Linked DNA regions of Oryzias latipes. The protein of the gene in region 1 binds, or shares a complex with, the protein of each later gene. Links are inferred from orthologs where the notes say so. Each region holds a gene or a part of one and is shown in the gene's direction. Other genes may lie near its edges.

Region 1 (4,202 bases):
TTGTTTTTTCTTTATATTAACAAAAAAAGATTTAAATATTTTCCAACTGTAATGGAAACGTTGGCTAAAAAAGTTTCATCCTATTTTAAAAGAGCACCTTTGGCCCCTTTCCTAAGAAATTTTGGAAACACCTCTAAAAACAATTCATATCTACTTTTATAAAAATGCACAAAACATAATTCCTCACTAATACAAAACTTAAAAAAAAAACACAAATTTTAAAAACTTTTGTTCCTTCGCTCTAGAGGAAAAATACTTTAAAATGGGTTTAAAAAAAGCTGTTTGTCACTTGAAAAACATTTAAAAATGACTCCTTTCAGCTTACATTTTCATTTATTTACATTTTTTAACTTTCACATAAATTTCTACTTTCGAAAAGTATAATCTGTAAAAAACAACTGTCTACTTTTGTTTCCTTTTACATTTATTATAATTATTCATTCATTCATCTTCTGCTGCTGTTTTATCCCTTTCGGAGTCACTGGGCTGCTGGAGCCTATCCTGGCCACTTGTGGGTGAAGGCAGGGTACATTTTAACAGTTCAATGTATTTACAATTTAAATCAATATTCTCTTGTTTCATTCCAGATTTTAAGACTTTCACTCAACATTCTTGTGAATATTATAGTTTTATTGTGAGACACAGCATTTCTGCGAGTCTCTGCGACCAAGTAGGGGCACTTTTCAGTGTCCATATATCCAGTGTCCATATACCGGATCCAAGCCTGGATAGAAAGGAAGGAGTTGTGTTAAAGAATGGTAGCTTCTTAAAACTGAATATTGATTTTATTTATTTTTATATCAATAATTCATAGAATACCGAGAAAAACAATATTTACAAATTTTAACGAAAATATATATTTTTTTTATTTTCTTGATAATTGGAACTATGGTGCCTAATTTTTATTTTTATTTTTCTATGTGCGTTTAGGGCTTTGGTATAGACCTTTACTTTGTCATATTAAAAAGGTTCTATTATCATACAATTTAAACTGAAAAGAAAACACAGAGTCCCTTTATATATATATCTAAGTATCTAAGTATCTATCGATCGATCGATCGAGAGATATATATATATATATATATATATATATATATATATATATATATATATATATATATATATATATATATATATATATGTGTGTGTGTGTGTGTGTGTGTGTGTGTGTGTGTGTGTGTGTGTGTGTCTGTGTGTGTGTAATGGTTAGTGGTTGACGAAGTATGCATTTTCAATTATTAACGCACACCGTGGAATATATTTGTATTTATATTTATATCAATATATATATATATTTATATCTATATATAACAATACATAATGAAAAACCTCAGCATAAACTTTTATTTAATCAGAATTCTTACTTTGAATATTTGCATAGAATAAAATAAAGCGTACGCGTTTACGACACATTGACGTACGGCTGACGCGTGACGTGTCTCTCTTGGAACACAACAATGGCGGACGCTGTAGAGGAAGCTCTTCAGGGAAGCTGGTAAGAATTTTCCTTCTAGCATTTTCCCTTCTGTGTTATTCTAAGCGTCAACATGTCTTGACAAATTGTTATCGACTGATTTGACGCGTAAATAATCGACGCAGGTGAGCTGCTTCCTTAACGGTCAATTTTAAAGCCAGCTAGTAGTTTAGCTAGCGAATGCTAGCCTGCTAATAATAAAGAGTAATCAGTGGCGACTTGTTTATCCAATTTCTTGTTTTGGTTGACAGTGCACGTGCTAAAATAAAAGCAATAGATATTTTTTCCCAATAAGTATTTACACAATGTGGAATACTTTTGCTTAAGTCAGCGGAAAACTTAAGTCAGCCTTTTGGCTCTCGTAACTTGACAGTTACCGGTTTCTCTGTTAACTGCCTCTTTTAAGTCATTTTCTGACCAGCATTTTTGTTTTGATTTATTTTTTACCTGTTCTAACATATAATTACATATAGTGTAAAAATCTCCACGCCATTCTGTCAGTCAGTGCCGGTGAAGTTAACTCACTGCTTAAGGACTGATTTAACCCTTGTGCTATCTTAGATGACCCCACCCTTATTTCTTCCTACCATGACAAAGGTGGATAAAGGTGGAAAGATTTCATGTAATCCATGGACACCAGTGAGGATCACAAATCATTGAAGAAAAAAGGTTCAGAGCACTGTCTAGTGGGTCTAGATGACCCAACTCCCAATGTTAAAGTGCCTAGGATAGCACAAGGGTTAATGGAAGTGGTGATAACATAGAGGTCCTGTTTGTCATAATCCATAATAGTCCATATTAGTTAGGCATTTGCTTGGAAACAAATTGATGTGAAAGCCACTCTGTACCTATTTAAAAAAAGTCTATATTATTGGTTTCTTAATCTTTTTTAATTTTAAAATTACTAAAAATCAACAAGATGATCTCATGTTTGATAGCATTTCAATCACACATCGTTTTTAATGCATTCAGGGGGAAAAAAAGCATTAATATGCTGCATAATGTATAAAAGTCCTCAGAATTAATGGATTGCTGTGTCTGTTAATCAGGGATCAGGAGCTAGCTGAGGCTCTGGACTCTGGGAGCTCTGACATGGAGATGGACAGAGGGATCGCTCAGGTCCAAGAGCAACCAGCACAACACAGAGTCAAGATGTGGACGGTGAGAAACTTGTTAGGTCCTTCTTAACAGATGGGAAAATAGCTTTATATTTTTGTGAAAAATGGTTATTAGTCAGGGGGAAATCTTGGATTGTTTTGTTTAAATTCCTGCCCATACAGATTACTGACGAATCACAAATTAGTTCACCAGTAAAATCCTCTGAGCAAAAAAGAAGTGCAGAAAAATAACGGTAAAAGGAAATTCAACTGTTCACTAAAACAAAAACACTAAAGGTGAAAGATTTAAAACCCCACTCAAATGAAAATTGCGTTTTTGATGTTTTTAACATGTTTTTAGTATTTTTCTGATGCTGAGGGGGGGATGTATAAAAAAAAGCAAAAATGAATTTCTGAGTATTTAATTGTTGTTTATTAGGATCAGAGAAAGAAATGCAGTTTTAAAAAGAAATTGTATTTGTTGCTAGGAGAATAAGCTGAGTTGGCTATAAGCTCTCTGCTCCATTCTGATGCCTCCACTTGTAGACAAACAGATCCATGTACATCTTTGTTTTCCTCGTCCGAGCTGGTATCTGGATCAAAACTGTACAGCTGGATAGCTCCAATATTGCTCACCATTTTTGTTGCACCGCTAATGTTAGATTGGCGGTGTAGATGGGTAACAGATTGGTAATGGGAAGTGGGGGCGGGGTTGCACCACACCAACTGTCCTGCCCACTACTGAGAAGTGAATTTCTGATGAACTCCTGCCGCTCTGCAGAAACGATGTCAAAAAGCAACACAGGGGTTTTTTGATTTTGGCTAACAACGGCGTAATCGTGATTTAAAAGACCACTGGGAATGCTTAGACAAAAAAATCAAAAAATTATCTGAGTGGGTCTTTGAATTAGAAATAATGATTTCTTTACAGCTTACTTACCAGCTGTTGAATATTAAAATACTGTACTACTCAAATTACAGGATGTTCATTAGGACAGAGAGTGAACCAGGGAGGGCTCCAGTTAGAAATGACAGTTATGCTGGATTTTTATTAAAATAAGCAAAGGTCAAACAGGAAGCTAGAACTTCAAATCATCAATAATTTCGTGTAACTACATAAAAAGTTAAAAAAAAGACTAAAATGAAACATTCAGTGCTTTGGCAGAGGTTAAGACACTTAAAGTGTTCTATTGAGGTTAAATATGCTGGAATGCAAAAGTGAGTCTGTCTCTAACTTTGGAGTAGTACTGGAAATACCAGCCTTTCATGTTTAAAAGGAAGTTTCGCTGTCTAATAATGACACTTCTCCCACTCTGACGTAAGCAACACTCCTGTCATTGTTTGAATTTTTGCTTTTGGATTGTTCTCTACAGGTAATGAGAGTTAAACCAAAGCTTTGCTTTCTAAAATCTGAATTCACTTTGAGTCCTTGTGCTTGATGATTTATTTTGGTACTTCTATTTGTAAATAAAGCTCTGGGCAGGTTTTTGAATGGAACATAAAGTGTTATTGTCTAAAACATGTTGTTTCAGAGAGATAGCCCATTAAGTTTTATTGTTAAATTATGAAGACGTATTTTATTTAAATATAAGCTTTATTTCTCAGCATTGAATGTTTTTTTGTTTTTTTTT
Region 2 (4,054 bases), on another chromosome or scaffold:
AGACACACAGATTATGAGTCCGCCGAACTGACAAAAGTGACACACGTGCTGGTGGAGCAGATGTTTTCTGCAGTTCATCCCTGTTCCAACATCTACCTCACCCAGAAACGATTCACTGCAGCAAAACGTCATAGTGAAAGTGAATATTTCTGTTGACTTGCATGTATTCTCTTTTTAAAACAGCATTTGTGAAAATGTGCACACTCAGAGTCTTGGATTGTTATTTACTATGGACAGCTGGATCAGTTTCCCTGAAGGGACAAAAAATGAGTTTTACTTTATTGCTCACTTCACATGTTTTTGCCAAGGCCATAGTTGAAATCAGGCCGATTCTATGAACACTGAGGAATTTATTTTTCATAATCAAACATTTGCTTTATTATGAAAATGTGCTACAAATCCCTTTTTCCAAGGTAATGAAGTATCAAAAAATTTGCTCTCAAGAAGGAACAGTTTCACTTCAAAATAATATTACTCAAGATGAAAAAAGTAGTCAAAAATATTGAGTAAAAGGGGAAGAACTCAGCAGATGGTTTTGGAAGACCAATTAACAGTTTATCAGATTGTCTTGTGAAATCAGGCAGAACAAAAACAAAAAAATAATGTGCAAATTTTGGTATTTAAAAAAACATGTTTTTTTTCATAACAACAATCCTGTCACTGATGTGTCTAAAAAAATATGGATGCAGGATGTTGGATTTTGTCAAAATGTCATAAAAGTATAATGAAGGTTTGGCCAATTTTATTCTTTTGCACCTCTTTTATAAGCATTGAAAGTAGGTTGTTATCTTTCACTGATATTTCAAAATAACTAGGTATCTTACTTTATGAAGTGTATTCAGTCTCAATAATCAGAAATGGAGACAAACTGTTTCACAAATACACATGCTCTGATTCACAACTATACATTTATGCAAACATGTAACATAAATTCATAAATCCACATGAAGCTTAAATATATATTTGTGAATCAGAGTGTGTGCATTTCTGATTGAGACTGAACAAGCTTCTTAAACTGATGAAAATAATTGTGTGACAAAATTCATAAATTCAAAAATAAAATGAAGTACCATAAAAGAATTTAGAGCACAACACATTTTATATAACTTACTATAAAACTCTAGGAACCTCGTTTTTAATCACTTTTCCAGTGATTGTAATTGAATGTTCCTTCCAGAACCAGTAGGTGGCAATAACTACCAGTTTGTCAGATTTGTTGGTGTAAATGATAGTAGAAGAAGAAAATGATGACGTGGGTGTTTACGTTGTCCTACTTCCGTAGCTCTTTGGTAGCGAAGAGGCGGCTTTTCTAACCCGATCCTAAATTCCAAATTTGACAGGACACCGGCGGCCATGTTAACTATCATTAATCCTTTATTCAGAGATGTTTAAAATATCCATCTTTAAGCTTTTGAACGTCTTATATCGGAACTGCCTCGCTTGTTGTCCTCATTAGTCACAAACTAAGCTAACGCTAGTGATAACTTAGCAGCGAGTCAGTCAGTGTACCAAATTTCCTCCACCATCGGCTGATCTGCACTGATTGTCATTAGACCTCAAGCAAGGCAGTCATGGCCACTCGGCGTCTGACAGATGCCTTCTTGTTAATGCGGAACAATGCAATCCAAAATCGGAACATATTGGCTGAGCAAGTGAGTACATACGAGCCCCGTCTGAGTACACGTAGCAATGCTGCGGTGAGTGGTCTGCATCGTTTTGACATTTTTACTGTGTGTTTGCGTTTAGCCAGTGAACCAGCCCCCCTAGCTAGAGTCATACTGTATTTTTTATGTATTTTTGATCAGATTGGATTGTCTTCGTGAGTGTTGGTGTAGTGTTGTAGCAGCCCAAACCAGTCTGTGTCAAACAGGATGAAGACAATGCAGTTTAGTTAAAAATTAGGTTTTGTGTTGTGTATATTTTTTTCACAATTAATTGCAGTTCTTAAAAACAAAAAAGGACTTTAACTTTGTCGTTTGAAATGTGCAATTCATGCAGCATACTTTTATGTCCACGTGTGCTGCACTTTGATTCTGACTCGCCCACACTGGTTGTTTCACTGTGACAAATTGAACACAAAACTATTTTCTTTTTACTTCACTTTGTACCTTAACAGCATGCTAAAAAGCTTTCTTCCTTCATATTTTCTTCCAGCAGGGTTCATCTTAAGGTTTTATATGTCCCATAAGTCTTGAATTTACAAATTCACAGGTATGCCCCTGAAAAGGTGTGATGTTTGAAAGGAGAGGTCTTAAATTATTTGGTTATAATTTTTTTTATTGTAATGTGTGAAACCGTGTCGATAAATCAACTTAAAAAGTATTGGTTGTTTACTTAGCGCCACCAATTATAATCCAACAAACCACTTTTGGCCCCTCAGTCAGAAATGATGACAGAACACAAACAGTTGCTCTGAAATCGACTGCCAGCAAAGGAGCAGCATCTCTGTTGACACCAGTGGAAGAGATTTTTAAGGCTCTGTGCACCATTTGTCTGTATAATAAAGAAAAGACAATGAATTCTGTTTTAAAATAGTCTTTTGAAGTCTTTTACCTAATTTGTTCCACTGGAGCGATGTAGCAAAGGCTTTATAGAGCTGATAATTTTACAAGACTGCTACACAGAACACAGAGCCAACCTACTCTAAAGACTAAAACTTCTAACTCTTTAAAGTCCCACTCCAATCCTTTTTAATCAGCCCCCACCTAGCGTTTCTGGTGCAACAAAAATGATGAGAAATGTTGGAGCTATCCAGAAACAAAGATGTACATGAATCTATTTGTCTGCAAGTGGATGCATCAGAATGGAGCGGAGCTGGTAGCTCCTACGTGACAGCTAAAACCTTTTTCAAACGGCATTTATGAGTTTGCTCCTAATTCCCAACAATGTGAATGATGAAATACTCAGAAACACAATTTTAAGCTTAATTGTCTATATATGTGTCCTTCGTTAGGGGAAAAATGCCACAAGAACAAGACAAGATGAGATAACAATGGTTTATTGATCCCAGCTTGAGAAATGTGGTTGTTGCAGCGACCGTATACAGGCTCAATACAAACAAATAAAAATAAAAAGCAATGAGTGACAATCAGGGAAATATGGGAGAATATATCGAAACGGGTTAACTATGGCGAATGGAGGATGAGTTATAAAGTTCAATGGAGTGAGTTAGGAATGATCTCCTGTAGCGGTTGGATGTTAATAAAGAAAGGTGTGAAATAAAGAAAATTCTAAAAACAGGATTTTCATTGGAGCGGGCATTTAATAAATCTTTGTAGAGTTAAAAGAACTTGAATAATACTATTTAAACATAAAGTAAAAGTATAAAACAAATAAACAATCTGATTATCACGTTAAATCACTGAATATTTATTATTTAGTCTTATTAAAAGTGCATGTATTAATGGTGAATTCACATCAAATTTTGTAGTTTGTGTTAAAAAAGGGCATAACTAGAGAAAACCCTGACATGAAGCTGGAAGCTGGCAATGTAGCTTAATCCCTGTGAAGAGTTTGGTAGTTTTACCTGCTAGCTAGTACATTTTCTCTTGCTTTTGTTGTTGTTGTAGACTTTAATCTGTTTTTTAGTAAAAAAAAATAAAAATAAATATATATATATATATATATATATATATATATATATAAATCAAATAAATATATATATATATATATATATATATATATATATATATAAATCAAATAAATATATATATATATATATATATATATATATATATATATATATATATATATATATATATATATATATATATATATATATATATATATATATATTTATTTGATTTATTAAATTGCGTCCAAGCAATGTGGATAGAAATCTGTGCAATACCACTTAAGTTAGCAAACAAAAGATGCTTGAAATATTGGAAAATATTGACCCAGGTGTCAGTTTTTCGTTCAGGCCTGTCAATGAACAAACAGACCTGAAAAGACGATCCCTGAAGCAGCTTTTTCTGCCAGTGGAAAGATCAGATTTCAGCTCTGCAAAGCTGCAGCACGCTCAGGTGTAGGATTACTGACTTTCAATGACATT

Evidence for each region. The genes of interacting proteins can lie anywhere in the genome.
Region 2: the proteins of tbc1d23 (region 1) and stx16 are in contact, whole or in part, in a crystal structure (PDB 8QQF), measured with the Homo sapiens proteins. The link is inferred for Oryzias latipes from reciprocal best matches to the Homo sapiens genes TBC1D23 and STX16. Residues at the interface, in NP_001186127.1 of Homo sapiens: Leu638, Asn639, Ser640, Val641, Val642, Lys643, Ile644, Thr645, Ser646, Lys647, Lys648, Ser661, Ser662, Ala663, Ile666, Thr683, Lys687, Ile690, Met691; in NP_001001433.1 of Homo sapiens: Asp209, Asp210, Asn211, Thr212, Leu213, Tyr214, His215, Arg216, Phe218, Thr219, Glu220.

The regions. Positions count from the first base shown.
Region 1 is NC_019862.2:28,284,960-28,289,161, reverse strand, and holds the start of tbc1d23 (TBC1 domain family member 23), read left to right. Parts: upstream 1-1,393; 5' UTR 1,394-1,457; coding exon 1,458-1,495; intron 1,496-2,523; coding exon 2,524-2,635; intron 2,636-4,202. UniProt on the Homo sapiens protein: Putative Rab GTPase-activating protein which plays a role in vesicular trafficking. Involved in endosome-to-Golgi trafficking.
Region 2 is NC_019863.2:27,695,516-27,699,569, reverse strand, and holds the start of stx16 (syntaxin-16), read left to right. Parts: upstream 1-1,246; 5' UTR 1,247-1,571; coding exon 1,572-1,697; intron 1,698-4,054. UniProt on the Homo sapiens protein: SNARE involved in vesicular transport from the late endosomes to the trans-Golgi network.